4 separate regions of the Mus musculus genome follow, and regions 1, 3 and 4 are each reported to be linked to region 2. The links are microRNA targets in miRTarBase. Many come from high-throughput screens and were not tested one by one. Region 2 holds a microRNA gene; each other region holds the end of a gene's coding sequence.

The links. The annotated mature microRNA mmu-miR-876-5p reads UGGAUUUCUCUGUGAAUCACUA and lies in region 2 at 2,596-2,617, opposite strand. An mRNA with a match to its seed (bases 2 to 7 or 8) in the 3' UTR can be bound and repressed. Matches are read on the target gene's strand: a 7mer-m8 pairs with bases 2 to 8, a 7mer-A1 pairs with bases 2 to 7 and ends in A, and an 8mer does both.
Region 1: the mRNA of Tle2 is a reported target of mmu-miR-876-5p. Seed matches in the 3' UTR shown: 7mer-m8 at 1,855-1,861.
Region 3: the mRNA of Slc2a4 is a reported target of mmu-miR-876-5p. Seed matches in the 3' UTR shown: 7mer-m8 at 3,579-3,585.
Region 4: the mRNA of Ttc26 is a reported target of mmu-miR-876-5p. Seed matches in the 3' UTR shown: 8mer at 1,675-1,682.

Annotation. Positions count from the first base shown.
Region 1 is chr10:81,588,939-81,594,772 of GRCm38, forward strand. Tle2 (transducin-like enhancer of split 2) reads left to right here. Exons shown (of 21, transcript NM_019725.2): 18 at 1-21; 19 at 482-558; 20 at 1,287-1,414; 21 at 1,619-1,907. The coding sequence ends at 1,394. It overlaps Tle6 (transducin-like enhancer of split 6), which reads right to left. Exons shown (of 14, transcript NM_053254.2): 9 at 5,389-5,647; 10 at 5,057-5,304; 11 at 3,775-3,916; 12 at 2,948-3,101; 13 at 2,322-2,398; 14 at 1,967-2,201. The coding sequence ends at 2,097. It overlaps Gm32024 (a long non-coding RNA gene), which reads left to right and starts at 5,627. Exons shown (of 3, transcript XR_003949022.1): 1 at 5,627-5,834.
Region 2 is chr4:36,642,827-36,648,660 of GRCm38, forward strand. It overlaps Mir876 (microRNA 876), which reads right to left and starts at 2,627; the gene lies at 2,547-2,627. All of the region lies in intron 2 of Lingo2 (leucine rich repeat and Ig domain containing 2), which reads right to left.
Region 3 is chr11:69,938,758-69,944,591 of GRCm38, forward strand. It overlaps Slc2a4 (solute carrier family 2 (facilitated glucose transporter), member 4), which reads right to left. Exons shown (of 11, transcript NM_009204.2): 10 at 5,302-5,505; 11 at 3,529-4,815. The coding sequence ends at 4,612. Ybx2 (Y box protein 2) reads left to right here. Exons shown (of 9, transcript NM_016875.3): 4 at 481-570; 5 at 1,117-1,401; 6 at 1,571-1,674; 7 at 1,833-2,010; 8 at 2,289-2,373; 9 at 2,469-2,846. The coding sequence ends at 2,339. Among named protein-coding and RNA genes, the nearest start is that of Ybx2, 5.8 kb to the left of the region's middle.
Region 4 is chr6:38,423,980-38,429,813 of GRCm38, forward strand. It overlaps Ttc26 (tetratricopeptide repeat domain 26), which reads left to right. Exons shown (of 18, transcript NM_153600.2): 18 at 1,149-3,668. The coding sequence ends at 1,260. Among named protein-coding and RNA genes, the nearest start is that of Ubn2, 7.0 kb to the right of the region's middle.

The sequences.
Region 1 (5,834 bases), not on the chromosome of region 2:
CACTCAAGTTCGCTTCCTGTGGTACAAGCCTGGGAGACCCCTTGGCACAGCAGAGGGAGGGTGGATGGATGGGGGTGAAGCCTTAAATTAGATAACGAATTACCCAGGCCTGCCCACCCAGCTGCTTATTCAGGTCAAAGCCAGTTTAGATAAATGCACAGACACATTTAAAAAAAAAAAGATGGACCAGGCGAGGTGACTTGCATGCCTTTAATTCCAGTACTCGGGAGGCAGAGACAGGTAGATCTGAGTTCAAGGCTAGCCTGGCCTGTAGAGCCAGTTCAGGACAGCCAGGTCCACACAGAAAAACTGTCTCAAAAAAAAAAAAAGACAGCTATCAAGGACACTCCATGTTGCCTGGCAGCTCTCAGCTTTTTGATACTGCATAGTAGGCGGCTTCAGGAAGGAGTGAATTTCTAAGGTTTCCTACCCTGGTGGTCACTCCCATCCTCCCCTCTGCCCCCTCCCCTTCCCATCTCAGGACGCTGGTTTGTGAGCACAGGCAAGGACAACCTGCTCAATGCCTGGAGGACACCCTATGGGGCCAGCATTTTTCAGGTACCTGGTCTCCCCCAAATGGAGGCCAGCTCGACATTTCCTGTCCTAGACACTTCCTGTTACAGAGTCCCACACTTTGGGTCCCTCTGTGTACCACAGTGGATTTATTATAAGTACACTGTAGCTGTCTTCAGACACACCAGAAGAGGGAATCAGATCTCATTACAGATTGTAAGCCACCATGTGGTTGCTGGAATTTGAACTCAGGACCTCTGGAAAAGCAGTCAGTGATTTTAACCGCTGAGCCATCTCACTAGCCCTAGGTGGCAATTTCTAATAAGTCTCTTGAACCTTCAATGGATGTGCTATAGTGGTCTTTCACATTTCCTGTCCTTCCTAACCATCAAAGACCCCAGGAGTCTCCAATCCAGAGCAGTACCATTATCAACCCTTCACATGTCAGGGATACCCCTGTCCCTCCAGGACACGGTGACACAGATCTGTAATCTTAGCACTTGGAAGGATGGGGCAGAAGTATGGTTGGTTTGAGAGAGAATGAGGGAAGAGGAGGGAGGTACTTTGCTGTGAAGCCATCTGAAGTCGAGCTGTGATGAGTTAGGTACCATCTCTTAAGTCACCAGTCAGGCTAGCTCAGTCCCCAGCTACAAGGCCCTGGCAACAGTCACATCTACCAGCCTTTGTTGTCCTCCAAGCCCCATGCTTCTGGTCTGTAAACTTGGTGGTGGTGACCATGTGGCCACCCCTCACCTCCCCTTTCTCTGTCCCAGTCCAAAGAATCATCTTCTGTACTGAGCTGCGACATCTCCAGGAATAATAAGTACATCGTGACAGGCTCAGGGGACAAGAAGGCCACTGTGTATGAGGTGGTGTACTGAGCCATCTGCTGCCTTTTCAGGTCACCTGCCCTGGATGGCTGGCCACTCGGGACACGGGCCCCTCTGCTCATACCTGGCTTGCTCCCTCCTGGCTGGGTGGGGCTGGGGCACTGGGGAAATATAACACATTTATCAACTTGCTTTCTTTCTGTGTGTGTGTGAAGCGTACAGGTGAGGGACCCGACTGGGTATCAGCCTTCATTTCTCTTTGCCCCAATTTTCAGAGTGTGGATCTCACTAATGAGCCTCACAGACAGGTCAACATGCCCCAGGAATCCTCCTGTCTCTACCTACAGAGCTGGATCAGGGATTTACACTCACTCCTTATCCTGCCTGGTGTGGGCTTTACCAACTGAACCATCTTCCTGGCTCTCTTTAAAACAAAAACTGGGTGGGGCTAGTTTCTTAGTGTAGCACTGGCTGTCCTGAAACTATGTAAACCAGGCTGGTCTGGAACTCAGAAATCCGCCTGCCTCTGTCTCCTGAGTGCTGGGATTAAAGGCAAACACTCAGAAGTTGGAGGGCTCAGAGCTACAAAGTTCTTCCAAAACCTGGGTAAAGGACAAATCTCTGCCATTTCAATTGTTTTATTACACGCAACTCGGGATCTGCACACCCCATGGAAGCCTCTAGAAGCACTGCAGACCCATCACACCCATTGCCATCCACCACTGTGCAGTTAGGGGAGGGGAGTTGAAGTTGTCAGTACTTGATGTGGTACACCGAGGCACAGTCCCTGGATCCTGTGATGATGAGCCTGCCGTTCTCAGTCATGTCGAAGCATCTGACAGGGCCAACCTCGGGGACCTGAGACAGCAGCTGAGTGAGCTCAGTTCCTCTCCACCCAGAGCTTCAGAAATGACCCCTGTGGGGATGATGCTGAGGGTCCCGCTGACAGAGCCCCCAGTGCCCCCTGCACATAAGTACCTGGAACAGTTTTGCTCCGGTGGGCATGCTGTGGACCGTGATGAAGTTGCCCATACCGACGCTCGCCCACCACTTGCCTAGGAGGAGGGGAAGGAAGACAGGGAGGTTACAGCAGACCCCACCCATTCACTAACATCCAGCAGCACCCAGGAGGCTGAGGCAGGAGGACTGAGAGAGTTTGAGATGAGAATGAGTCTAGGCTACATGAGACCTTGCCTCAAAGAACAAGGCAGAACAGCAAAAAGTTTTACTGTTTTGTCTTTTGTTATGTTTTGCCGTCTGAAGCCTTTTATAGCTCAGGATAGCCTTAAGCTCCCCAAGTAGCCAGAGATGACTCTGAACTCCTGATTATGATTATGTTAATAAAAGATGTTGGAGTGTGGACAATACCCAAGCCCTGACTGGGCACTGAGTAAATAGCAGGGTCCTCTGAGAGGCCAGTGGCCACAGTGTGCACCCATCCTCAGTGGACTGGTTTCCCAGACAGGGTTTCTTTGTGGAGTCCTGGCTGTCCTGGAACTCTGTACACCAGGGCTGGTCCTGAACTCAGATCCACCTGCCTCTGCCTCCCCAGTGCTGGAATTAAAGGCGTGTGCCACCATGCCCAGGCTCAGTGGACTCCTTACCATTTGGGGAGAACTTGAGGCCTAAGATGGTGTTGTCCTTGGTGTCCACAGTGAGCACCTGGTCCCTCTTCCTGCTGTTGAACAGGCAGTGCTGGCCATTGGCCAGGCCCAGCAGCAGCCAGTCTTCGGTCGGACTGTGAGCCAGGCTCATGATCTGGGTGAGCCAGGCAGAGGTAGCAATCAGACCCCTGCTGGGCGGCCAGGCTGCAAGGTCCCCGCCCGAACGCCCGCCCACCCAATGACTCACTGACTGGCTGTGGCCCGACTGTGTCTCCACACCTTCCTTCTGTGAGGTGTATGAACTTCACAGGGTTAACTATGGCAGTGACAAGTCTGTCTCCCTGGTTGGTTTTATTGGGACATGGTCTTGCTCCATAGCCTAGGCTGTAGTGACTTGCCACATAGCCCAGGCTGGCCTTGAACTCCAGCATAAAATATTTGCAACGATAGTCTTTGAGACCGGCTTTTATGTAGCCCAGGCTATCCTTCAGGTTCCTGTGTAGCTGATGACCACCTTAAACTTCTGACCCTCCTTCCCCCAGCTCCCTAGTGCTGAGTGACAGGAAAACATTCTACCCCCTAGATCCAGCTCCTTCTCCACTATGTAGCCCAAGATGGACTCACTTTTTCATCCTCTTGCCTCAGCTTGAGTACTGGGACGACAGCCTTCTCCACCATTGTCCAGTATGACAAAAGGTATTTTAAAGACCCCTGTGACTTCTCAAAAATTCCTTGAGCTGACCTGGGCTGTTCCCTCTCCTGACACTGAGTGCACCTTGTCATTGTACCCAAAGGCCCACGCCTGTGCAGCCACCCTTCCTGTGCACCTGGGACTGGAACAGATGCTCCAGTGACACCTTGGCCATCCGCAGGTCCCAGCATCGCAGGCAGGCGTCCAGACCCCCTGTCCAGATGTTGTCATCTTTGACCACAAGGTTCCTGGCCGAATTGGTAGGGCCTTTGAGGTTCCTGGCCAGAAAGCAAAGGGGTAAGCCTAGGCTCGACAGTCCCTAAGATTCCCTCAAAGCCGTGGGACTAACCCAACCTGAGGTACTCTTAACACCTTTGGCAAGAAGGCAACAGTGACATCATCCTAGTCCCTGCCTCTAAAAGGTAATGTTCCAATACCTATAAATCCAGTACTGAGGAAGTTGAGGCAGGAGGATTGCCATGAGTTCCAGGCCAGGCTAGGGTACATAGAGACCCTGCCTCAACAATGAGGGTGATGGAGAAGACCCAAAGCTGGCTGTGGTGACTCACAATTGTCATCCCAGCTACTCGGGATTAAGAGAGGATGATTGCGAGTTAGAGCCATCCTAGGCTTCAGAGCAAGTTCAGCATCATCCCTGAAAACGTCACCTGATCCGACCTTAAGATAAAATCTGAGCAGGGCTTGGCAGCACAAGCCTGTCATCCCAGCACTCTGGAGGCAGAGGCAGGTGGATCACTGAGTTCCAAGGCTAGCCTGGTCTACAGAGTGAGACCCTATGCCAGATAAAATGAATAAAAGTAAAAGTGTTGACCAGATGGCTCCCAGGTCACTCAGTGGGTAGAGGAGAGCCGAGTTCCAAGAACCCACTTAGTGGAAGAACAGGCTCCTGCAGGTTGTCCTGAGCCTCTGTTCTCCCTTGTCCTACAAGAATTACAATGAGCTGGGCAGTGGTGGCACACGCCTTTAATCCCAGCACTTGGGAGGCAGAGGCAGGTGGATCCAGGCCAGCCTGGTCTACAGAGTGAGTTTCAGGACAGCCAGGGCTGCACAGAGAGAAACCCTGTCTCGAAAAACAAAACAAAACAAAGCCCACGAAAAACAAGATTTACGAATAAGCCAGGCACACACAGCACTTGGAAGGTGAAGGCAGGAAGATAAGGAGAGTTTAAGGTTCTCCTCCTCTGTGCTTGAGGACAACCTGGGCTACATGAGACACTTACCCTAACCTAAAGGTAAACAAGCAGGCTGTGGGCGTGGTCAGGGATAGGGTAGAGTCCCACCCAGAATCCCCTAGTGAGGGGACTAGGGTGTGGCTCCACTCTGGGGGAGTGGGGTTTGGGTAAGAGCTCAGAACTCGTAGTCCGCAGCTCACAGTGCTCCTGTCCCTGTGTCTGCACCTGACTATTTCCTGAGTCCGTAGGTCCCATATCCTGACCGTGCCATCTGTGAAGCCGGCAAGGGCCATGTTTTCCTTTGTGTTGGCCAGTGCCTGGCAGGACAGGCCCTCGCAGGGCAGCTGGCACTTCTCATACAGGGATGGGGCTGCCAGGTCCCACACGATCACGCCAGGTAAGTTGTATCCACCCGCGAACAGGGTCCTGCTGTTGGAGGACAGCAGGCAGGTGCGCAGGTACACCTTGTTGTCCTGCAGAGGATCGTCCCGGCGAGTGAGGGTCAGTCGTGGCTCTTCCAGCACCTCCCATCCCCAACCCCGTCCCTGCCCCGTCACCTGGACGCTGCATTTCAAGTGGCTTTCTGGGTCTCTGTCCTCGGCCACCTGGTTCACGAGGTTCCACACCTTGATGCCGCTCTGGCTGCAGGTGAAGACGTGCCGCGTGAAGGAGCTCACAGCTACCACCAATAGCAGTTCCTGGTGCTTCAGCACACGCACCTTCTGCAGTGCTTGGGGGACAGTGAACCTCTCTAATTGCCAGAGTGCTGTGCTAGGCTGATTACAGCTGCTCTCTAAGACTTCAGAGCCCCAGGACCTAGGGATATGGGACACAGAGTGAAGTTTTCAAGACAGGGTCTTAGTCCAGGTTGGCCTTGAACTCTGTATGGAGCAAAGGCTGACCTTGAATTCCTAATGCTCCTGCCTCTACCTCATGAGCGCTAGGAGCCAGGCTCCAGTCACATTCTTCAGTTCTTGCCACAGCCACACATGCGTCCCTACTC
Region 2 (5,834 bases):
GCAAATAAAGTAAATATCCAATAAAAATATTTTAAAAAGAGAAGGGTTTAAGCCTTCAGATTTGAACTCCAGTTCCTTAGTCTACTGGCATCTCCCATTATGTTGTAGACTTGTGTTACTTCCATGATTGAGAAAGTCTTCAAGATAAATCTCTCTCAATATATAAATACTGCTAGTTTCTCTGAATAAAGTTGGCCTAGTAAACTCCTTTCAAAATATATATTTTCACATAGATTTTAGAAAATTTACGAGTGTTTAGGGCAAGTCCAATTTAGAGTTTATGTTCTATCCAAACTACACTTAAAATTAACTGCTTTTCTGTAACTCTGCTTATATGTACTTAAAGTAGGAATAAAAGCATCCAGTAGTATATTAATATAAATACAACTTGATGTTAGACTTATGAAAAGAGTTTTGGATATATGGCTATTTGATAAATTTGGTGACCCTGTTGTTAGGTCTAGTAACTAAAAATCTCTTAGAAAATTCTGTCGCTTACTTCAATATTTACATAGCAACAATACTAAATATTGGCATTAAAACCAAGCTTTAGCTCAGAGGAAATATGATAAGCATCTCTTTAAAAAACAGTAACAAATCACAAAGCTATAGAACAGCTTTATGCCCAAAACCTGTTATTCTGGCTCTATTTCATTTATTCCCTTCTCTAAGAGGAGTGGAATTTTCAATCATAACATGGTTTTACTGCTATGAAGAACATACTTAGAAATATAGAGTATTAAGAAAAAGAAATATGCAGTTGTAATTGAAAATAATGACAATTATAACTGATGCTGAAGTAAAGCCTAAGAAATTAGGATAACACATTCAAACCCTATTTTAAAATTGGAGATAATTTTGTGGGGATTCTCTCCAGCTGCATCATATGTGATTTATTTAAATTACAGAGGCTCAAATAAAGTATCATTATTTATGTAACATATATTTTTATTTTTAAGATTTATTTTTTAATGTATAATGGAAAAACTTTTTGATTTGTTAGGACATTGTAATGATACCTAAACTTGTAAACAAGATGTATTAGCTCTAATATAGCAAGACAAAAATAACTTCAGAAGAGAAATAATAGATTGATTCAATGATGATTCATAAGTAATTTCAGAATCCTGTTCATTATCATTTAGGAATGTAATGGTGTCACAAGAAATCGGAGATAAATACAATCTATCACTACGAAAATCTTGTTGCCATATGACTGAGCTTAGATTACACCTAAGTTCTAGCCTTCAAATAGAAGAGCTCATATACCAAAACTAAACAAAATTTTTGGAGCTTATACCAGCGATTGAAAAACTAATGGTGAAAGGTTGGGTTTCTGTTTCTAGAATCAGCACATTTAACAACACTAATGAGGGTAATAACCATGAACTTCCTGTTGTTTCCCAGCAACTGGTAGGTAACATGATAGCAACTATACTCTTTAGCCTTGTGAAACTTACTCATTTTAAAGATTATTCTAACACTATGAGTATGTATATGAGTGCATCTGTGTGTGGGAACATGCACATTAGTGTAAGGTCCAACATAGGCCAATAGAGAGTGATAGAGAGTGTCAGATCTCTTCAGCTGAACTTATTGGTTTCTGTGATGCATATGATGCAGGTGTGCAGCAAATTGTACCCTGGTTCTCTTGATGCACAATCCAAGTTCTCAAACATTGACGATGGCTTTAGACTCTTACTAAATTTCTTTGCCATTAAAAGATGACAGAAGCTAAATTTGTAGAGAATTAATGATAAATAATGGCAAATTAAGTATACAATTTTGTATATTTTGGCTAATTCTGTGTCTGTATCATTTGAATAGTATTAAAATTTAGTTACTTTTAAAATTATTTTAAAATAATGATGTTTATAAATTCCCTGATTAATTTCTATTTGAATTGCATAATCAGTAAAGTCACTGGATAAGCTCTCTGTAAAAATGTTTCCTCTTTATTAATATATATATATATATATATATATATATATTTGTCCAAGTAATAGTAACAGAATTAAATTTCAAAATGTTTCACTTATAATTAATGGGTGCAGATGTCAATTCAGTGCTTTTGTTTTGGATCTACTGCATTTTTAAAAATAGGGCATACTGCCAATTGTTGGGGCAGGTGTTGCTAAAAAAAACAAGAACAGACTGTGCATAAATGTAAAATACACACACACACACAAACACACACACACATATATATGTGTGTGTGTATATATATATATATATACATATATATATATATATATATATATATATATATATATATATATGAGATATGAGATGGCCTGGCAATATGTAATAGGCAGTCCTCAAATGCTGCCATCCTCCTGCCTCAGCTTCTCAGGTGTTATATTACAAGCAAGTTACAATATATGTAGCTTAATTTTCCAGTGCTTGACATATCTTTGCTTCTTGTTCTCTAATTAACAAAGTAACTGTTTATGAAAGGTTTAAATCTTATAGCTTAAGGATTTGTTCTCAATGGCCCAATGAAGGATCCTAGGTTTCAAAATACAGATCAACTGTAGGAGCACCTGTGAAGCACTATGAATTACTTTGTAAACCACTACCACACTAGATTTGATATAGTGATTCACAGAGAAATCCATAGCACGTGACAGTTTATGTAATGCTTGTACACATGAACATAAAAATTATATGCTACCATGCCCAGAGTTTGAAAAATTATTCAAGACATCTTTTTATCGTTCATATGGCATTAAAATATAATTTAATTTAATTTTAACAACATTTGAGCAAGAGAATAAACATTCATGAATCAACAGGTTTTATATATATAGTATTATAATATATACATTTTTAATTGGTAAAATAATAAGAAACACTGAAAAAATCTGAAAAATACATAAAACCAAATTATACTTTCCGTATTATGTATCAAGGTAGATCAATTAGAGGAATGAGCAAGAACAACCAAGAGATGAAAGAGAAGTAAAATGCCCACTATGCTCATAGAATTGAGATATGGATATTAATATAACCTGTGGGAGGAGAGAAGTAAAATAAGGAATGACATTTCATACGTGCATCTCACATTACAACATACACATGATGTGGTTGTTTTGCTCTAAAAATAGTCTCAGTTAGCCTACATGTATTTTGCATAAGTTCTTAGATTTTATCTGATTTTTTTTCTATCTTAAGTTTGAGTTCTGCATGTGATTGGCTGAAACTCTCTGAGGCTACTTAAATATATGTTAGTTTCCTCACTAGGTTCAGCTTTGAGAAACAAAACAAAACAAAACACCAAAGTAACTGAAAAAAATCTCTAATGGGCACTGCTTTAATAAATTCACAGGAATGAAACATCTTTCGTTTTTCTCCTTTGTTATGTTTGCTTCAATGGTAACATTTATCTAAAGATTTAAAAGAAAACTAGAATTTTAATTTATGATCATTAAAAAGAAAATAATTTTTAAATTTTAATGGACTAGGATTATATCTCTCAGGCCATCTATGGATTTGAGAATTTTGACTTTTTGTATGTATACCATGAATGTCAATAATAATTAACATACAATATTTTTCAGAAATTTGCAAATCTAACATCTTAGTGTGTTCAAAACTGTCACTACATATCACTGTGCATTCCCAAGTAAAACAGGGAAGTAAGGCCAGACTGGCTGGCTAAGCAAGGAAAAACTTTAAGTGGAAAATAAATTGTAAAATTATTTACACATTCATATATACTTACCGTATGGCTGGTATATGACGTACATAATGCTTGCCAGGTATAAGGAAGTAAATGCAAACCCAATACATACCCTAGCTTCAAGAAACAGATAAAACAAAATAAATAAAACCAACAAGAACAATTGTGTTCCTTAAAAAGGGTCCACATAGATTGCTTTAGAGTCCACATTATCCAGTCATAGCAGGAGGTTTCTGTGAGAAATTACTTAGTTGAAAAATTGAAGGTACAATACAATTTAGCAATGAGGATAGGATTAGAACATTTGAAGCAGACGGGGCACATTAAAAACAGTAGAAAGAAGAAATTAAAATGTCATCTGTTCTCTGCTACACTACTGCTGAAAGTAGAAAATTACACAAAATTTAGATATAAGTGAAAACTAGCAAGCATGTCCAGATTGTAGACAACAAATGAGAGAAATTAGAAAATAAAGATACTAAGCAACATTAAGCCTGAGAAATGTGCATGACAGATGTGCATGGCAGATGTGCATGACAGATGTGCATGGGAGATGTGTATGGCAGATGTGCATGGAGATGTGCATGACAGATGTGCATGGCAGATGTGCATAACAGATGTGCATGGCAGATGTGCATAACAGATGTGCATGGCAGATGTGTATGCCAGATGTGCATGGCAGATGTGCATGGCAGATGTGCATGGCAGATGTGCATGGCAGATGTGCATGACAGATGTGTATGGCAGATGTGCATGGAGATGTGCATGACAGATGTGCATGGCAGATGTGCATAACAGATGTGCATGGCAGATGTGTATGCCAGATGTGCATGGCAGATGTGCATGGCAGATGTGCATGGCAGATGTGCATGGCAGATGTGCATGACAGTTGTACATGATAGAGAAACAGCTGTGTGGAAAGGCCCTAGGATTCAAGGAACATTGTGACACTCAGAACCAAACTGGCCCAGAAGAAATCTCCTGAGAAATCAGGCAAATTTCCTTTTGAGCTTCACGTTGAGTGGATGAAATACACTCAGAAGTCAAGGAAGATTTGAAAACAGATAATTGTGAGGCCACAGACTTTCCAAACATCCAGGAATGAGCTCAAGCTACAGTGAGTAAAGGAGGATTTCTGAGGGTTAGATAAATTCTAGCATTCCCAGAAACTAGTTCACAGCTATTAAAGGAAACATTTCCCTTACCTATGGCAGATGAGACATATGGGTACAGGGAAATATATCCATGGTGCCTATTAGCTTATCAAAGCCCATGCTGGCCTCTGTGTTCCTTCTGTACCACAAGTACATTTCAACATGCATGCTATAGATCTCACAATGTCCAATCTGGTTTTCTTTCTCTCTGTTACAGACTCTTCAAGATAGATCCAGATGTTTTCTCTCTCATATCTATAATTGAAACCCTCCCTAATAATAGAGTTGCCAACTCAGCATTTTCTTTCATCACCTGAGGAATCAGGCTAATTTTCTGTTTGAGCTTCACTATACCAGCAGGGTAGATGAGATAAATTTCAGAAGCCAGACAACAGTTTGAAAGAGGACAACCACACATAAAAAGACAACATTAAGTAGGTTAGTGAATAACCATTCCAAATGTGAAATCCAGTCAGTTAAATAGTCATCAGAGTGAATTCAAGGCAGATTTTTATAGTATTTCATTGCTTTAGTTGCTTCTTTATTTACACAAGACATGTACATGACAATCCAAATTCAGTTTTTGGTGCTAGTTGGGCATTCCTCTCTTCCTTCCTCATAGCTTTCAACATAAGAAATTCTCCCAGAGAGCCCCTCTTTAGGGGAATTTATTTGCCTAAAAGACTCTTTTCCCCGATTCTGTTAAATATGCTATCAATTTTATATGAAAGTATATGGACAGAGAGTGAGATATTATGGAGGAACTAATTTTCTGGTGAGCTAATTAATTAAACAGCACCACTTATTTTCAACCCATTACAGTGCCTGAAGTCAGAAATAGGTGAGGTATATTATCCATTAGTGAAAGACCACAGTGCAATGATTCACTGTCTTTTTAAAAGCTGAGTAAGATATATAGGACACATCATATTTTCCAATTATTATCTTCTTAGAGATAGTTACTTACAGGTTGATCTGTGTTTAGAAATATGGATAGG
Region 3 (5,834 bases), not on the chromosome of region 2:
AATCCGCCTCGGGGCGGGGCGGGGCCTGGGCACTCAGTTTTGACCCGCTCCCAGGTGATTCTGATGCTAGTTTGAGAACCACTGCTGTGGTGGAAGTGCTCGGTGGGATCGAGGTAAGAAGCACAGCACGTTTCACCCACTTTGCAACTTGAGATGTTCTTCAGCCTGTTTTGCTCCTGAGTTCCTACTGCCTCCATGTCTTGAAGTCCTTGAGGGGTACAGTGGGGAGGAAGGACATCTTGGGGATAGCGGCTCCCTCAGACCTCTAGCTCTTGACTTTGCCCTACTAATATATCTCTGTCTTGTGGAGCTGTGCTCCAGGCCCTCCCCCTCCCCCTTTGACCATTTTCATGCTCTGCCCTCCAGCCCTAGACTCCAATAAAATGTCACCAAGAGTGGAGTTGGGTGGAGGCTGAAGCTGGTCCAAGGGATCCTGGCTTTGCTGCCCTCACCTTTCTCATGACTTTTCCCCCCAACCAGACAGCTATTAAGAGAAACAACCCCAGGAAGTTTCTGCGGAGTGTTGGAGATGGGGAGACTGTGGAGTTTGATGTCGTGGAAGGAGAGAAGGTTTGGGTGCTGCTGTGGGGTGGAGTTGGCCAGAACTGTGGGAGGGTGGCCTGGAGGTCAGCCGAAGCTCTGGCCCTCCTGGGACCAGCTCTGCCTCTGCCTGTGAACGCTAGAGCTGCTCTAGGACATGTCCTAAAGAACCCATCCCTGTCACCAGCCAGTAACATGTGGGTTTCTTCTCTTTAGTTCACCAAGCACTTCCATGTCTGTTTTCTACACGGGACCCCAGCCCTAACAGGACCCTCAGTCAGTCCTCTGGAATGAAGGAGGGACAGTGGCTCTCTCTATCTCATCCTGTCCTGTCTTTACACTCTGGGGGGAATGTGGCAGTTATTTCTAAGGACAAGTTGTTTCTTCTCAGATGGGTACAAACTCTTTCTGCTGCCCCTCGGGGGAGGGGACAAAGGAGGAGTGGTTTTGAGGAGTGATAGGGTAGAGGACTTGGGCCTGAAGAAGTGGGACACCAGTGATCTGGCAGGTTTGTAAGTACTGTGTGTGTGTGTGTTGTCAGAACAGGTTCTGATTGCTCCCCCTCTACCTCCCCAGGGTGCAGAAGCTGCTAATGTCACTGGGCCTGGGGGGGTACCAGTGAAGGGCAGCCGCTATGCCCCTAATCGACGTAGGTTCCGGAGGTTCATTCCTCGGCCTCGCCCAGCTGCCCCACCACCTATGGTGGCAGAGGCTCCCTCAGGTGGGACAGAACCTGGCAGCGAAGGGGAGCGGGCAGAGGACTCGGGGCAGCGACCTAGACGACGGCGCCCACCACCCTTCTTCTATCGAAGGCGGTTTGTGCGAGGCCCTCGGCCCCCCAACCAGCAACAGCCCATAGAGGTGAGAGGAGAGTTGCAGCCGGGGAGGCTAGTTCTCTTACATTATGGAAAGAAGTTGGGGAGTTGTGAGGGCAGAGACTGTGGTCCTCACAGGAAGTAGAACGAAGAGCAAGGAAGCTCCAAAGACATCAGGCGTTCCACAGCCCACCTAGGCCTTTGTGTATTCCCAGGGCTCTGATGGGGTAGAACCCAAGGAGACAGCACCATTGGAGGGTGATCAACAGCAGGGAGATGAACGGGTGCCCCCACCCAGATTCCGGCCCAGGTACCGAAGGTAAGACTGTTGTTTTGTCTTCCCCTTCAGGGTCCAGTGTTGGGCCTGTGTGAAATGACAAAAGTTCTAGAGCCTGGAACAGATGGGGACAAACCAAGGAATCCTGGGAAGGGAGTCTGCCCAATTCTCTGATCCTGTCAGCTTGTTTCTCTTTCTAGGCCTTTCCGCCCCAGGCCACCCCAACAGCCTACCACAGAAGGTGGGGATGGAGAGACCAAGCCCAGCCAAGGCCCCACTGATGGCTCCCGGCCTGAGCCCCAGCGTCCACGAAACCGTCCCTACTTCCAGCGGCGTCGGCAGCAGCCCCCTGGCCCCCGGCAGCCTATAGCCGCAGAGGTGAGGGTCTTGGTACTTTCTGTCCTTTTGCACCTCTACTTTCCTTGTCCCTGTCCCTCTGGCATCCTCCCTGGCCCACCCCTGGCTGGCATTACTCACCAGGAAACCCCTATGCAGGCAAGTCAAGCCCAGGGTGCCTTTGCATGTCCCATCCCCATGCCCATCTTTGGGGTGTGAAGTGTGAGAACTGGTTGGAAGGGATGAGAAGAGGAAAGTTAAGAAAAGGTTGAAGTAGGGGGCTGTAAACAAGTAAGTCTCAGTTCACCACTGCTCTTCAGACCTCCGCGCCTATCAACAGTGGGGACCCCCCCACCACCATACTGGAGTGATTCCAACTCAGAGGACACCCAGAGCTACCATCTGGTGAGTGCTACATCTCACCAAGAGCCGGAGAGGGGGAGGGGTGGTGGATTCTGCCAAGTGACCCTTTATGATTGGTCTCCCTCTCTTTCTCTTAGGTATCTGCCAGTTTCCAACTGACTCTACCCAGCATCCCCCTCCCCACTTTCCCATAATTCATGACATCAAAACATCGGCTTTTCCCTTGAGACTCAGGAGGGCCAAAGCACCAGCCTTTGGCTTTTTTCTCTTTTTTTTCCCTCTCCCCTAGCATGGGTTGAAGGAAGGGATCCATCCTTATTGTTCCGAGGCATCACCTCCCTCCCTAGTCAGGCTGAGAAGGAACCAGCCAGCTCATACCTCCTCCTGATTGTTTTTCTTCCCCACCCATTTATTTTTTGTTTCCCTTCGACCTCCCCCCAACACCTCTGAAGCCATTTTATGAACTGTCATGTGCCACCTGAGCCTCCAGTAAAAACAAAAGCAGGCTTTCTTGTTGTCCTGGTCTCTGGCTCTTCTGTTTGAGGATGAAGACTCTCTGGTGGGGCTGAGACCCGAACAGTGGGCAGGGCCTGCTAGTACTTCCTTGCTCCAGTACCCCTAGCTATTCAGTTGTGACATGAACCCTTTCACCAAGAGTAACTGGATCTGTTACTGGGGGTGAAGTCTCAGCAGTGCCCAGGCACTTGTAAATACAGTTTACAAACCACTTACTGTTCATTTAGGCAGTGGATAAGGGCTGGAGAGATAGATCAGTGGTTAAGAGCACCGACTGCTCTTCTAGAGGTCCTGAGTTTAATTCCCAGCAACCACATGGTGGCTCACAACCATCTATAACAGAATCTGATGCCCTCTTCTGGTGTGTCTGAAGACGGTGACAGTGTACTCACATAAAATAAGTAAATCTTTAAGCAGTGGATAAAAATCAAAGTAGAAAGATGTGCCAGCGCTCAGAGAGCTGAGACAGGATTCCTAATTCCAGGTCATCCTGAGCCACGTTTCTGTTTCCAGAAAACAAATTGTTTTAAAAAGTAGAGCATTTGGGTTCAGGCCTGCAAACCAGCTCTCTGGAAGGCTGAGGCAAGAGGTTTGCTACAAGGCAGCCTGGGCTATGCAGTGAAACCCTAGTTTTTGGAGGAGGGCAATGAAAGTGGATGTAAATAAGTGACAGCTGGGCATGGTGGCACACGCACACCTTTAATCCCAGCAATCGGGAGGCAGAGGCAGGCGGATTTCTTGAGTTCAAGGCCAGCCTGGTCTACAAAGTGAGTTCCAGGACAGAGAAACCCTGTCTCGAAACCCGCCCCCCCCTAAAAAAAAGGTGACAGAATCTAGAGGCCTCGGTGCCCTGAGCCCAGGAAGGATGAAGTGCAAAGGGTGAGTGAGGCATTTTCTTTTTGCACACCCTCCAGTTCCTCCAGCACAGGACACTCATCTTCAAACAGTGACTTTATGGACGAATCTCTATATACACATTTAATACAGCAGCCCTTGGGTTTCTGCTCCCTATCCGTTCTTCAAAACATACAAAAATACCAAAGGCTCCCTCCCAACCAGTGTTTATAGGCAGCCTTTCAAATCCCCTCCCGCCCTTAGTTGGTCAGAAGCTTTCGGGTTTAGCACCCTTCCTGGAGGGGAACAAGAAAGTGTTGGTACCTACGCTTTGCAGCCCTGGGAACAACCTAGGGCCCCAAATGGAGACTGATGCGCTCTAACCGTCCTTGCCCTGTCAGGTATGTACTATTGTGTTCCTTTGCCCGGGAGGGTGGAGCCTGTGGGGAGGCAGGGCTAGATTTTGGGAGGGTGTATCCTTTGCCCTGGAGGGGTCAAGACAACCCCCTTCACCCAGAGCCTGTGTGGCAAGAGTTCAGTGGAAGTGCCAGTTTGTGGGAGGAAAGCACTCGCTCACACACCCACCCCTGCTGTTTATCCTGATGAATTCAGGGCCACCCCACCCTCCTGCAGACCCCTTCTCGAAAGGGGAGGAAAGTAGTCTAGAGCTGAGTCTGGGTAGGGGCAGGAGGAAGGCAGGACGGAGAAAGCCCATCTAGGTGGCCACAGCCTAGCCACACACATAAATAATCCAAAAGAATCACACAGGGGGAATGAGGGGTACATGGACCACCCCTCCCTTCAGCTTCCCAGTTCCCCAGGCTGCTGTTCCTTCAACCTGGAGGTAACAGGGAAGAGAGGGCTAAAGTGCTGTAGAGGAAAGGAGGGAGTCTGGGTGGAGAGGGTGGCTCTCCCACCCTGTTTTGCCCCTCAGTCATTCTCATCTGGCCCTAAGTATTCAAGTTCTGTACTGGGTTTCACCTCCTGCTCTAAAAGGGAAGGTGTCCGTCGGAAGGCAGCTGAGATCTGGTCAAACGTCCGGCCTCTGGTTTCAGGCACTTTTAGGAAGGTGAAGATGAAGAAGCCAAGCAGGAGGACGGCAAATAGAAGGAAGACGTAAGGACCCATAGCATCCTGGGACAGTTGGAGAAAGAAATGTTGACAGAGATGGGAAGCCAGGAACCAAAGACTAAGGAAACTGGGGCTATGTGAGGAGCAGGTTTGCTCCCTTAAGAGGCAGTGGCAATGACCAGAAATGAAAGCTTTCACTGAAAATCTCATTTAGCTTTTTTACCCTTTGCTCTCCTAAGTGTACAATTGGAGTAGATTTCTAAACCACTTATAGCATTAATAGAAAGTTTAAATTATACCACTGGTTTATTTTTTAGAAGACTTCTAAATCTAAGCTGCTGGATTTCCACCTATTTCCACCCATCTATTTCCGCCTGCCTCCCCCTTGATTGTGGTGAAGTAGTTCCACCAGACCTATCTTCCAGAGACCACCTACATGGCTGGGAGTCCCTGACCAGACAGTGAGGGAACTGGGGGGGGGGGGCCGGGAGGATTTGCCTTCCCTCTGGCCACGGATGTGGGAAACTGGGCAAAGGGTAGGGAACCTACCGCAACATACTGGAAACCCATGCCGACAATGAAGTTACAGGTCCAGTTGGAGAAACCAGCGACAGCCATGGCGGCTGGGCGGGGGCCCTGGCTGAAGAGCTCTGCCACAATGAACCAGGGAATGGGGCCAGGGCCAATCTCAAAGAAGGCCACAAAGCCAAATATGGCCACGATGGAGACATAGCTCATGGCTGGAACCCGTTCCTAGAGACCAGGAAGGAATAGCAGAAAATTTGGTTCTGGCCTTTCCCCTTGCCTTTGGCCCAGAGAACTGAAATCTTCCAGGGCTTAATCGGGTAGAAGCTACCATTCTAGGCTAAAGCAGGCCTAAAGCATCCCCCGTCCACTGCCCTTTTAGACAGTGTCACATGTTGCCCAGTTTGGCCTTGAACTTTCAAGGCCTCCACCTCAGCCTACCAAGTGCTGCACTGCCCCAGAGCGTTTCTGAGAGCTGCTGTCATTTTGTTGGCTACCTCTGGAAGTTTCAAGGTAGAATGTTCTGGTTTCTTGCTCCCTTGGCTCCGAAGTTGTGC
Region 4 (5,834 bases), not on the chromosome of region 2:
CAGGGCTAAAACTAATTCATTAATTTAGTGTTATAAAAACAGTTCTGTGGGCTGGAAAGATAGTTCAGCGATCAAGAGCACTGACTGCTCTTCCGAAGGTCCTGAGTTCAAATCCCAGCAACCACATGGTGGCTCCCAACCATCCGTAATGAGATCTGATGCTCTCTTCTGGTGCGTCTGAAGACAGCAACAGTGTACTTAGATATAATAATAAATAAATCTTTTAAAAAAAGTTCCATGCAGTATATTTATTGCTTAATGCATATGGATAGAAAACTGTAAAAATTTTGCAAGCAAATTATCAAAATTTACTTCCTGCCTTGTGTTTATGTATAATCCTGAATACAAGCATTTAGTCAGATGCAGGAGGTTCCTCGGGCCAAGAAGTGGGAGGGGGTGGGGAGGGTTTGGGGGACTTTTGGGATAGCATTTGAAATGTAAAATAAGAAAATACCTAATAAAAAATGAAAAAACGAACAAACAAACAAAAAAGACAAGACCACATGGGGAGCAAATCCACAGACAGTTGCCAAATCTCTGATGAGACACCAGAGAAGCTTCAGCCTGCCTCACCTAAACTCCAAGCTTTAATTATAATAAATCTTAACTTGGGGCTGGAGGAGGCTTGTGGTTAAGAGCATTTGCTGTTCAGTCATGAGGATCACAGTGTGAATCCCAGCACATATGTCAGGTGCTCACAGACACCTGTAAGTTCAGCTCCAAGGCATCTGACACCCTCTTCTGTCCTTCTCGGGCACTTGCATAGTGCAAATATACTCATACATACATGCACATATATACACACAGATTATATATATATATGCATAGATACACACATACATAAGGATGCATGCATGCATACATAAAACGAGTTTTTAAGTTAAAACATGTATTAGTTAAAGTGCAAATGCTGGGCATTCACCAAATTCTGGTCCTTACTGCTATTCTCATTTATATTATATTTGAACCCTTTTTGAGCAAATATGTGGAAGAAGCAACCCATTGTCATGGCTTAGAAAAGTAGCAGCTTTGAAATGCCCAGTGGAGGGTCCATGAGCACAGACACCTCATTGCAATATAGTACTATGTCGTGAGATCGCTAGTTTTTCTTTATTAAAAAAAATGTGTTCTCTAAAACCTTTCCTCAGAGAGACCCTCCGAGAAGTGCTGCATTTACTGAGAAGCACAGGAAACACCCAAGTGGAGTATATCATCAGGATCATGAAGAAGTGGGCCAAGGAGAATAGAGTGCCCATCTAAGCAGCCAAACCCTAGGCCAGGACCAGCTTCCTCTCACGTCAAATTGGAACTGTTTTCTTGCACTTGAATATGCAATCCAGGACCCTGCTTGATTGACATTTCTTTCCTTGCTCTTAGAGCATTAGGATGAGTGGGTGGTATGTGTGGACTTAGGCATCAGGCAACAGGAATCTCCCTGGCCTGCTGACACCCAATGTAATCTACTGGTGCCTTTCTTCCATAATCATTCTGAACACTATTCTGTAATTTACTGGCTTTAGGAATAGATACTAGTTTTGTTTTTCTTTCTCTGTTAGCATTTCAGGACATATCTTTTTTCTTCTTCTTTTTTTTTTTTTTCTGAGACAGGGTTTCTCTGTATAAGCCCTGCCTGTCCTGGAACTCACTTTGTAGACCAGGCTGGCCTCGAACTCAGAAATCCACCTGCCTCTGCCTCCTGAGTGCTGGGATTAAAGGCGTGTGCCACCATGCCCGGCAGGACATTTTCTCCTACCTGCAGTAACAAGTACCTTTATACTAGAGAATTGCCATCATTTGATCATATTCCATCATTTTGTACATTAGCCCATCCATGACTACATCTCTGACTCCTGGGAGACGTCTTTCTGAGCTGTGTGATTCTGAGGATGGCCATGAGGCCCTCTACCAAACAGCAGTCAGTAGTAGTTAGTTAGCTTATGAGACCACTCTCTGTGAGTAGCTTGTTACGTTGAGACAAGCTGAGTATATGGTTTTAAAAAGGTGAGTGAAAGGAAAAACTTGGCATCTCTGAAGGTGTGTAAGTCTCAGAGTTAGGTCTCCCTTGTATTTTAGGAAACAAAGCCAGGGCAGGGTTCTTACTATCTTCTGAATGAACAGCAATTTTGAACATAGGACTGGGAAAGTTTTCATGAAATATATATATATGTATATTTTTTCTGAGACAGGGTTTCTCTGTGTAGCCTTGGCTGTCATGGAACTCACTCTGTAGACTAGGCTGGCCTTGAACTCGGAGATCCGCCTGCCTCTGCCTCCCGAGTGCTCGTATCAAAGATGTGTGCACCACTGCTCAGCATACGTACCTGTTTATATTGCGCACACATGAACACATCGTAGGGATTTATTGATACAAGTATAAAGCAGGTCCTTTGAAGAGACCTCCTAATGGCTAGCCTCTCCATCATATCTCAGCCTCGTGTCTCTGAGCTGTCATCACATAAACTTCTTTTTTCTACAACAAAGTATTGTCAGGCTTCCATCCTACTTTCAGAAAACAGACATACATCTTTTTGTGTATCAGATTACCTGCTTGTTTGTATGCTCTGTAATTTTCTTCTGTAGGTCTGAGGTACACAAGCTAGAACATACAGACCCATCCTCATAGAGCAGGGACTGCACAGAGGAGGAGGTGGAGGAATTTTTAGAAACACCATTAATTCTTCTTCCTTCCCAGCCTCCTGCTGCAGATGGCAGATGGGAGTTCTGCACAGAAAGGAGAGGGAAACCTGTACAGAGTAAAACAGCTGAAGCAACAGGACCAGAGGCTGAACACAGCCTTCATCTCTAGCCAGTCCCAAGGTGTTCCTCAGCTCTGTATCTCTGAGTCCTGGGACAAGTCTTCCCGAGAAGATGGCCAGTGTGCCATCTTTTACATTAGGATCAGATATGATTGGGCCAAAGCACAAAACACAGTACTGGTCTAACAGAACTGCAGGAAACAAAACTGCACCATTTCCTTATGCCAGAGCTTCTTGTCTTGTTCTGGTGTTCCCTCTTTTTCAGTAGCACCTGGTTCTCTTTGCCAAAGGTACTAGGTGGATCAGATATGACTAAACCTGCTATAGTTCTGTGAATCATTCTTATGAAACTTATTTTGCTTTAAATACTTGGAAGCAAAAGAGTGGGATGCAGATCAACTCCTGGGAGCTGTTGACATCTTCAGTGACACACTGTTCAGTTCCAGCTTCCTGAAAGACACTCATTCACAGTCATGGACTTCCCAGTGAGACATTGTGAGTTTACTACTTAGTAGTCTCTGACATTTTCCTTGAGAGAAGACGGTCTGTCCCCAACAGCAGAATTTTAGATTACTGTTAAAAGTTTTTAATCTACAGGATTGAGACAGAAACATGAAGGCTTGTTAAAGAGAAGCACATTCAATTCTGTTAGGAGGGATAATTGTTTCTGATTGTCTTGACAGGGCATCAAGTTCGTACTGTGTTCTCTCACAGATGACAGCCTGGAAAAGAAGGGCTTGGCTGGGGAATGTGTAATTTATACAGTCTATCATAGCAATGTACTATTTAAAAATAGTCTGTAGTGTATACTTAAAAATGGAAAAAACACTTTTACAACTATTTTTGTACAACAAAAGAATCACATACCACTGTACTATATTTAAATTAAAATTTATTTTTTGGTTTTTGTCATGTGTGTTCATGTTTATGCAGCTGTGTTCACGTGTAGAGGTTAGAGGTCAAACTGAGTGTCTTATCTCTTTCCACCTTATATTTTATGAAACATGCCTGGAAAGTTAAGGTATATGCATATGCTAGATACCATGACTACACATTTGCCAAATCTAGTGGAATTATATTTAAAATAAGGGGCTTAGGAGCATTTAATACAGGTTTTGTTTGTTTATTTGGTTGGTTTTTCAAGACAGGATTTCTCTGTGTAGCCCTGGCTATCTTGGCGCTCAGACAGTAGACCTGGTTGACCTCGAACTCCTCTGACTTCTGCCTTTGCCTCCTGAGTGCTGGGATTAAAGCTGAGCACCACCCCCATGAGGCAGAACATAGTTATTTTTTTAAGCCTGGTAAGATGGCACCACAGATAAAGGTTCTTGCTCTAAAGCAGTGCTTCTCAACCTTCCTAATGCTGCAACCCTTTAATACAGTTCCTCGTGTTGTGCTGACCCCCAACCATTTTTTTTTTTTTGCTGCTACTTCTAATTTTGCTACTGTTATGAATCATAATGCAAAGATCTGTGTTTTCCAATAGTCTTAGATGACTCCTGTGAAAGGGTTGTTTGACCTCCAAAAGGGGTCAAAACTCACAGGTGGAGAAGCACTTTTGTAAAACCTGGTGGGTGTCCTGAGTTCAATCCCTGGAATTCAATGGAAGAAGGTAGGGGAGAACTGACTCTATAAAGCTGTGCTCTGACCTGCACATACACATGTGTACATATGGAGATACAGACAGCAATAATGTTTAAATAGTGAATAGAAAGTAAAAAGAAAAGACTTAGCTTCCAAGAGTATATGCTCCTGTGATGACTACTACTACTTAGGGAATAACATTAACATCGTGGATAAGATCCAAAGAAACTGAAAATTAAGGTCATTTTAACTTTACCTCATTGCACAACAATACAAAGCGTTTAAATTATCAGAAAAACCTATACAAAAATGAAGCAAGTAGACAATATGAAGGGGTTTTTGAAAGATGTATAGGAGAAAGCATGACAGACGAATGCCTCTGCTCAAACTTACCTCTTGTCCAAACCTGTATATGGGCTTATGTCATCCATTAAAGCAACGAGACTGATGGATTGGATCACAAAGTAAAATCCAAGGCTGGGCTGCTTGCTCTTACTGAGAACAAAGTAATTCGTGATCATTAAAGTGAGAAGACGAGTGGCAGTGCAACTGGGAAAATGCAAATAGAGAGAGAGCAGGTGCCATAATCAAACAAGGTTGGATTCAGGTCAAAGTCATTAAGCAGGCCACAGAGACACACTTGGAATGACAGAAGCTCTGTTTCCTGATGAACACAATGGTTATGAACATGCAACAAAGGAAAGGCACCAATATTCAAAAAGCAAAAATGATGAGAGATAATGGCAGGTCGTGAAAGGTGAAATGGAAATGTAAGTAAAGCTGCAGTCATCTAAACATTATTGGCAATAAGCAAAATCTTCATATGTCAAAGAATATACCTCCCTTCAAGGACCCGCAGGCTGTTCAGTAAAATCTACAAAGAAAATAACATCACTTCCCATGGACAGCTTGCTCCCCGTCCCAAACATTTCACAATTGATTAACCCAATTGATTCAAACACTATTTTAAAATGATTAATATATTTATGTGTATATGGGCACATGTGTTCCATAGCAAGTGTGTGAAGATTGGAGAACAAGTAGGGGCGCTGGTTTTGTTCTTCTCCCATGTGGGTCTCGGGGATAAAACCTCGGTCAGTCCTCAGGCTTGACTGCAATCACTTTTAGCAGGTAAGCCAACTCACCTGCCCCCACACCCGTGCTTTAAATGATGTATTACCCCATTTTACAACCTGAGAGAAACTGAGACACAAAACAAGTGCTTAAGTACGTTGTGTAAAGGTCATGGAGTGCATGATAGTAAGCAACAGAGGAAGAGTTAGACTCAAGCAGCCTATTCTCACTCTGTAGTTTCAACCTCAAGGCCCAAGACCTCCTGCAGTAAACTCAAAAGAATGTGTGTGCATGTGTGTGTGGGCGGGGGAGGGGGCGGTTTGCTTGTTTCTGGGTTTTTAAGACAGTTTCTCTGTGTACCCGTGGCTGCCTGGAACTCACTCTGTAGACCAGGCTGGCTCCAACTCAGAAATCCACCTG